Linked DNA regions of Struthio camelus. The protein of the gene in region 1 binds, or shares a complex with, the protein of each later gene. Links are inferred from orthologs where the notes say so. Each region holds a gene or a part of one and is shown in the gene's direction. Other genes may lie near its edges.

Region 1 (3,743 bases):
TATAGAGAACCAACTTATCACCCAAGAGGACCTAACTTTGTGCTAGATATCTCTAGGGGTGAAAATAACCTGATTCTGGAAGCAGAGATCTAACTTTGGTTTGGACATGTACTAGTTTTGGTAAGTGATACTGATAAAGGGCAGGTATTTACATAATCTGATATAAAGGTGCATATGAATCTGTGTTTACAGATACTCCTAGGATCTTTGATAAATCAAGAAACCTTGGTTAAGACTTCTAAAACTAATGCAAGTCCCTAAAGCTAGGATATGAGATTTTTCATATTGGCTGAATAATCTTCTGTAACTATGTTGATGACTGAATATACACCCTCAGGCTTTGATACACGGGACCTCAAACTCCAAGAGCTGTGAAGCCTTGAATTGTTGCCAATACAAAAATGCTGTAGTTATTGGCTAAGCCTAAATGTTACCAGCTTAATCATTTATTTCTTCCTCCTGGATGTGTAACCAAACCTCAAGGCAGAGAAAATTGCTGGTAGGTCTCAAATTGAAACTTGATCCGGATGTCAAGCCTCATATATAAAACCCCAAGTACTTTGATCTTGTAGCGTGCTTTCCTTCTGGAAAAAGGAATTGCTATGCACATTGTAAAGTATGCTTTGAACTCCTCCTAAAACAGGGACGCGTGTTTTACTGGGCAACAATAATGTCAATACGGTATGTGCCTCCAAGAGCGCTCTTAGTTGCAGCTAGACACAGACCTACCTGTTGTCCTGTGTGCTATGATTTGTGTGAAGGAAGGTGTGTGCTGAGCTATTTTAAAAGTGTAAAGAGGTGAGGTTTTTCAGTGCTTTCAGTATTTAAAATAAAAAAAAAAAAAAAAAACAGTATGTAACGCTAGGTCCGGAGAATCAGAACTGCTTTTGGTGGGAGAACAGACAAAGAGGGTAGGAAGTGAAAAGGGGGATGGGTGCGAGAAGCCCGAGAGGCCGAGTATTTGCACGCGGCCCGTACTCCCGCTCAGGGGAGAAGGGCCCTGAGGCAGGGGCCGGCAGCGCGCCCGTAACGGCCGGGGGGGGGGGAGGGGGGCCGCGCGCGCTCGGGGCAGGCCCGGGCGGGACCCTGCCCCACTGCCCCGGGTGGGGGGGGGGGTGGCCTGAGGGGAGTTGGAGTAACCTATTCCCGCGCTGAGGCGAGGAGCAGCCCGCTTTTTTTCGGGCACGGGCAGTGAGGTCTCCCGCCCCGACCCCGCTCCCGCGTCGCCATGCGATGCACAGCGCAGGCGGCGCTGAAGAGGGGGCGTCACCCCGCGCATGCGCCGTCTCCCTCCTTCGAGCCGGCGGACCGTACCACTGCACGGGGCTGGCGTAGGGGTGCGCATGCCAGGCGCCGCCTCGAACGTCTCGCTTGTGAGGGCTCACCGGTGCCTGCTACTGCGTTCCGGCCTACATGATTGAGTGACAGCCGTAGGGATGAGTAGAGGAGAGCCCACGCTCACTTGCGCCCGCCCTCTCCGCCTACCTTTCTCTTGCCCTCCCCCGGGGCCCGCGGATTGGGCGCGCCCGTGTTGCCGCGCCTCCCCACCCCTTGGTCGCGTCCGCTCGCGCTGCCTGTGCCCCGGCGTCGCGCGTTCCCGCTCTGTCGCGTCCGCCTCCGCCCGCCCCCTCCCTCCCTTCCCCGCCGGCTCGGCGCTTGCCTCGGCCTCCCGCGCCCTCCCCCTTCCCCCGGCTCAGCCCCGGCGCGGCGGCCCCATGGCGTACAGTCAGGGCGGCGGCAAGAAGAAAGTCTGCTACTACTATGACGGTGAGCGCGGGAGTGCGGGTGGGGGAAGCCCCTCTAACCGCCGCCGGGGGCGGCCTCCTCCCTCCTCCCCCCCCCCCCCCCCACCGCCCGGTCGAGGTGCCCCGTGGGCACCGCGGTGCGCAGCGCCGGCCGGTCCCCGCCGCCATCCACCTGCAGGGCCGGAGCGGCGCGGGGAAAGGCGACCTGGAGCCGCACAGGGTGCTGGTGGGGAGGCTGCCCGGCTTGCGGCGGAGCCGGGGGCCCGGCGGAGAATGCTGTGTTTATTGTTACCGCTTCCCTCCCCCCCCCCCCAAAAAAAAAAAAGAAAAAGAAAAAAAAGTTGATACACTCTCCTCCATCCGCTATCCGTGAAGACGTTGGAGTCGCTGCCGTGTCTGGCTCCTCCCCTGCCAAAAGTCTAGGCCATGTGTAGGTTCGGCACCTGGTGATCCTTGCAGCTGAGGCCTTTCGTCCAGTTTGTATAGAGGCTTTCTGTCTGTGGAGGGGACAGGCGTATTCTTCCCAACCCCCCTCCCCCCAGGACATGCATGAAGAGTGTAAATTTGGCTTTCATGAACCTCTGCTCTAGCAAAACACCGAAGTCGCATGTATGTTTAGTAATGGGGAAACTGGATTTTTTTGTAGGCCTTCTTAAGTTTGTGCACTCGCCTGGTGAGAATGTAGTGACTTGTGATTTGCCTTGTCAGTCACATCTAAGAAGTACATAAAGCTCACGCTTTAGTTTCTGGTATTTGCAGCAACTTGCTTGTGGTTCTTTCTGGCCACAACAGAGAAAACTTTTCTATTTTTTTTTTTTTCCAGGGCTTGGGTTTGGTTTTATTTTTGGTACTGGGAGGGTAAACTGGTCAGATTAGTTACCAATTTCATTTTTAAGATTTCCTCCTGTCATGGGAATCCCTTAAGTTGTGTGTGCAGTAGTCAGGAAACAGAGGTTGAGGCTGCTTTGCTTGTGATGTGTTTTCATCGTTTGGGAAACGGAGAAGAATGGCTAAACCAAGCAAGATATCAAAGGTGTCTGTTGCTGTAGCAAATCTGCCGCTGTTCAGAAATGGCAGATCTTGTGGGGCCTGTCTAGTTTTTTTTTTCTTCTTTTTCTTTTTTTTAACTACACTAAAGGAGGCAGAGTGGTTGTTGCCGCCCCCTTCTCTTTGTTGCTAGCTCTCGTTCTTTGTTCAGCCTAAAGGGGAAAGGAGGCCCCAGTTAGGGAGAATTTTGGTGAAGCTGGGATCTTACTTGTGCCAGGGAAGAGGGCTTGCTTTTTTGCATTATTGAAAGAAAGATTACATTGATAGTTTGCAAGCTTTCTCCCTGCAAATGATTGCATGTTTGTTTTTTATCAATATACATTTTTTTTAATGTCAGGTAATTGTAGTTCACTAGATAGCTGTATCTCCAGTTTTGCGGTGATGCCTTGATTTTGATACTCGGCGCTAGTGTCAACCTCTGTTAACTGAGACCCTAAACAGCCATAAAACTACACTAGTGAAGAGGCAAGAGAAAGTGGGGAAGGGAGAAGTTTTGAGGTGGCAGGACAATGGTGACTTCTAAGTAGTTGTAATTAATACCTTGCGAGTTGTAATTAATACCTTGCAGTAGACTACAATAAAAGCAGTCACTAATAAGCTAGGGAAAGGAATATCTGTAGTAAGAATGATTTAGAAAATGCTTGCTCTGTAACAGAGAAATTAACAGCATTGGAATGTTTATAATGCCTTTTTTATTTCCTGACAAAGCCAATAGTTGTATTTCTTTCTACAGTGTTCACTTGGAGATAGTTATTAGAAAGAAGTTTAGACCTAATACCTCTGGTAAATGTTTCTACTGCTAATTTGTGGCTCATGTGATAATCTTGAGTACTTTCTGTTGTGTTCTACCAGCAAAGTCTTGAATCAAAGTGCGGGGAGTGTTTAAAGCCTTAAATAACCCAAAAACAAATGTACAATTTGTATCTTTGTACTTTTAGATCATGGTGGTGT
Region 2 (3,743 bases), on another chromosome or scaffold:
GTCAACAGACTTCACAGGGGCCCGCTATTTCCCAACTTTGGGGCTGCGATTTGCACTGAACGTGGCAGCATGAGCTGCTTGTGTCCTGCTGTAAATGAATGTAAGAGATCACTCGGGGCTGGGCATTAAGAGATTATCCTGATTAAAAATAAACCTACTTTTAAAAACTAGTATGTCATGACGATGTACCTGCAGCCAAATAACGCTAGGATTTAACAGGTGTATATTTTTATGCAATTTTATAAAATGCCGATGATGTTTTGCAAAGCTTTACCTAGCCAGGCTGCAATTTTCTGCGTCAAAGCAATTTTTTTTCCGAAGGTTTCCACAGACACAGCCCAGGTGTTTCTGAGAGTGATGGGCAGGTGAAAGGAGGCCTATGGAGGGGCAAAAAAGGAGTCGCTCAACCTGCACTGGAGCATGTTGAGTGTGCACACATACACCGGCTACAGCCCTACTGGCACACTGAGAGGACAGCGCAGGACGAGGGGGACCCAGTGCTGGTGCTGGTGATAAAGGCCAGGGGAAAGGCTCGATGCTATCTTTGCCTCAGTTTTCACCGTTTGGGCCGGCTGCCGGATCAGGCCTCCCAGCCTCCAGCCTAGCGGGGAGTGAAGCATCACCCACAGCCGAGGAGGGTCGCGTTGGGGAGCACCAAACCGATGGGACACACGCGGGTCGCTGGGACCAACGGGATGTGCTGAGGCTGCTGGGGGAGCTGATCCCCGTAGTATCATCTTGGAAAGGTCATGGAGATCTGAGGAGGTTCCTGCTGGCTGGGAAAAAACAAGTGCCATGCCGATCTGCAAGGAGGGCAGGAGGATCTGGGGAGCAACGGGTCAGGCCCACCACAGTCCCTGGGAAGATGATGGAGCAAATCCTCCTGGGAGCTGTTTCCAAGGGGGTGAAGGGCAGCAAAGTGGCTGAGAACGGCCAGAATAGGATCACCAAGAGCAAATCAAGCTGGCCAACCTGATTGCCTCCTACAGTGAGATGACTGGCTGTGTGGACAAGGGGAGCAGCAGATGTAGTTTTCCATGACTTTTGCAAGGACTTTGACACGGTCCCCCATAATATCCCTATAACCAAACTGAGGAGATCTGGGCTGGATAATAGCCAATAAAGTGGGTGCAAAATTGGCCTCACTGCTAGGCTCAAAGAGAGGTAATTAGTTATACAAAGTCCAAATGGCAGTCAGTCACTCGTGGTGTCCCCCAGGGATTAATACTGTGGCCAAGACTGCTTAATGTCTTTATGGATGACTTGGAAGATGCAACTATGATGTCCTGCACCTGCTTTGGAGTAACCTCATGAGCGGGACAGGCTGGGGCCATCTGGCAGAAGAGGACCTGGGTGTCCTGGTGAGCAGCAAGCAGCAGGACCAGGGCTGTGAAGGCAAACTGTGTCCCGGGCTGTGTCAGCCAGCATGTGGCCAGCAAGGTGAGGGAAGGGACGTTCTCCCTGTTTTGGTGTTTGCAAGCTGGACTCTCCTCAGAGGTGCGCAGGGGCGGGATGAGAAGCAACGACATTAGCTGGAACAAATTCCCACCAGATGTAACACTTTTCCTCCTTGAGGGGGGGAGTCATTAGGACTGGGACCACCCTTGGAGATCCCCAAGCCCCAGCAGGACGTGGCCCTTGCAGCCGATCCAATTGGCCCTGCTTCATGCAGGATTGGTCTCTCCTGGCCCAGCGCCGTGACCAGTGGGACAGTGTGAGGTGGCTCTGTGGTGTCACTGATGTCCCCTGGGGTGGACAGTGGGGCTGCCAGGCCCCCCAGGGCAGTGTTTGGGGTCACTGGGACACTGTGGGGTGGGTACTGAGGTCACTGGGAACAGTGGGGATGAGTGCATCAAGATACTGGGACCAGTGAGGGGGATCCTGGCATCACTGGAATCCCCTGAGGTGGATATGTAGCACCACTGGGACTTTTCCAGGGTGACCCTGGCGTGAGTGGGACCCCATGATGGGTACTGGGGCCACTAGGTTCCCCTGGGGTGGGCACTGGAGTCGCTGGGACACCCTGGCATAGGCAGCGGGGTCAATGGGAGCAGGATGGGGGATACTGGGACCATTGAGACCTTCCCTGGGGTGGGCACTGGGGTCACTGGAAACAGTCTAGGTCATACTGGTGTCACTGGGACCCCTCTCAGGTGGTCACTGTGATCACTGGGAGCCATGTACATGGCACTGGGGTGACTGGGACTGCCCAGCAGTGCACACTGGGGTCACTGGGCCCCCCCGGGGTAGCTACTGGGGTAACTGGGAGCAGTGTGGGGCACTCTAGAGTCACTGGGAGTGGTGTGGGGCCACTGGGATGCCCCCCAAGGTGGACACTGGGGGCACTGGGAGCAGTGAGGGGCACCCTGGGGCTACTGGGAGTGGTGTGGGGCCACTGGACTGCCCCCGAGGTGGACACTGGGAGCAGTGGGGGGACACTGAGAGCCCCGAGGCCCGCGGGGTCCCTCCGCGGGCTCCGCGGCCTGGGCGCAGAAGCGGTCACTGGCGGCGCCCCCAGGAGGCTGCTGAGGTGGGCCCCGCTCGTCGTTGCCCCTTTAAGGCGCTGCCCTCCCCACCAGATTGCCCCACCCCCATGGCGGTTTCTGATTGGCTGGGCAGCCTGCCGCGCGCGCCGAGCTTAGCGCGCCGCAGCACGCAACGCCGGCCAGCCCCGCCCACCCCCTCGCCCCTCCCCCTCCCGGCGCGCGTTCCTCTGACGAGACTCCACTCCAGCCAATCCGCGCTGGGCTGCGCGCCGCACGGCTCCGCGCGGGTGGCCAATCGGGAGCGCCGGGGCGGGCTGAGATTTGCATAATAACAGCGCGGGCGGGGCCGAGTGAGGAAGGGCGGCGGAGGGGCCGCTGGCGGCGCCAGGGAAGGGGGGTTGCGGGGCCCGGGGGGCGGCGGCGGCGGGGGGGGGCTGCGCCGGGGGCGCCAAGGGGCCCCTCCGTGCGGGGGGCGGGCTGCAGCGGGGGCACCGGGGGGTTTGGCGGGGGCCCCGGCCCCGTGCCTCAGTTTCCCCAGCTCCGCGCAGCAGTCGCTCGGGTTTCTCGGCTGGAGCTCGGCGGCGGGAGTAGCCCTCCCGCGAGCCCTGCTGCGGGGTGTCCCCGGGGCCGAGGGTCCGCAGGGAGTGCAGAGCAGCCCACCCCGCGCGGGGGGAGGCTCTCTGGGCGTTGAGGAACCCTCTGTCCCTTGGCCGTCCTGCCCCAGGGCGACGGGGCTGTTGTTCCAGTCTGCATTGTGTGCTAGGTGTTTGGTTCCATGGGGACGTGGAGAAGGAGGGGAGGAAGGTGTCTAGCCTTGGTGTGACTTGCCTGGATTTGTGCAGTGAGGTGGTGTCTGGGCTGCAAATAAAACCCAGGAGTCCTAAGTCTGTGTTGCCCAGATCAGAGCTCTCCAAACTTCGGCTTGGCCACCTCCATCTACAGAGTATCTTCCTCGCTGCTGCCTGTCCAGCAAGTGGCAATAACAGCTCTGATTTTGTGTTTCAGGGGTCCTGATCTGAGCAGTGTTGGCAGTGGTCTGCGAGGACTGCCCATGGCCCACAACACAAAGCAGCTGGCTGCAGGGATGCTGTAAGTGTTTTCCTCCTCGGGCCCGTGTGCTGTTGCTTCCAGCTGTGGAGATGCTGACTGATCTTCTAGTGCCTAAATGGAAGTCTTAACCTTGGCCAAATGGGAATGTGATCTCTTGTATGTCACAAGTTGCTTTGGGTCACCTTGTCCCTGTCCTGTGCCTGGTCC

What was found.
Region 2: HDAC2 (region 1) and HMG20B share a complex: the UniProt entries of both Homo sapiens proteins name them as parts of the BHC histone deacetylase complex. The link is inferred for Struthio camelus from reciprocal best matches to the Homo sapiens genes HDAC2 and HMG20B.

What each region holds. Positions count from the first base shown.
Region 1 is NC_090944.1:63,043,727-63,047,469, reverse strand, and holds the start of HDAC2 (histone deacetylase 2), read left to right. Parts: upstream 1-1,447; 5' UTR 1,448-1,715; coding exon 1,716-1,767; intron 1,768-3,743. UniProt on the Homo sapiens protein: Histone deacetylase that catalyzes the deacetylation of lysine residues on the N-terminal part of the core histones (H2A, H2B, H3 and H4).
Region 2 is NC_090967.1:324,644-328,386, forward strand, and holds the start of HMG20B (SWI/SNF-related matrix-associated actin-dependent regulator of chromatin subfamily E member 1-related), read left to right. Parts: upstream 1-1,411; 5' UTR 1,412-1,426; coding exon 1,427-1,440; intron 1,441-2,789; exon of another isoform or gene 2,790-2,883; intron 2,884-3,488; exon of another isoform or gene 3,489-3,491; coding exon 3,492-3,575; intron 3,576-3,743. UniProt on the Homo sapiens protein: Required for correct progression through G2 phase of the cell cycle and entry into mitosis. Required for RCOR1/CoREST mediated repression of neuronal specific gene promoters.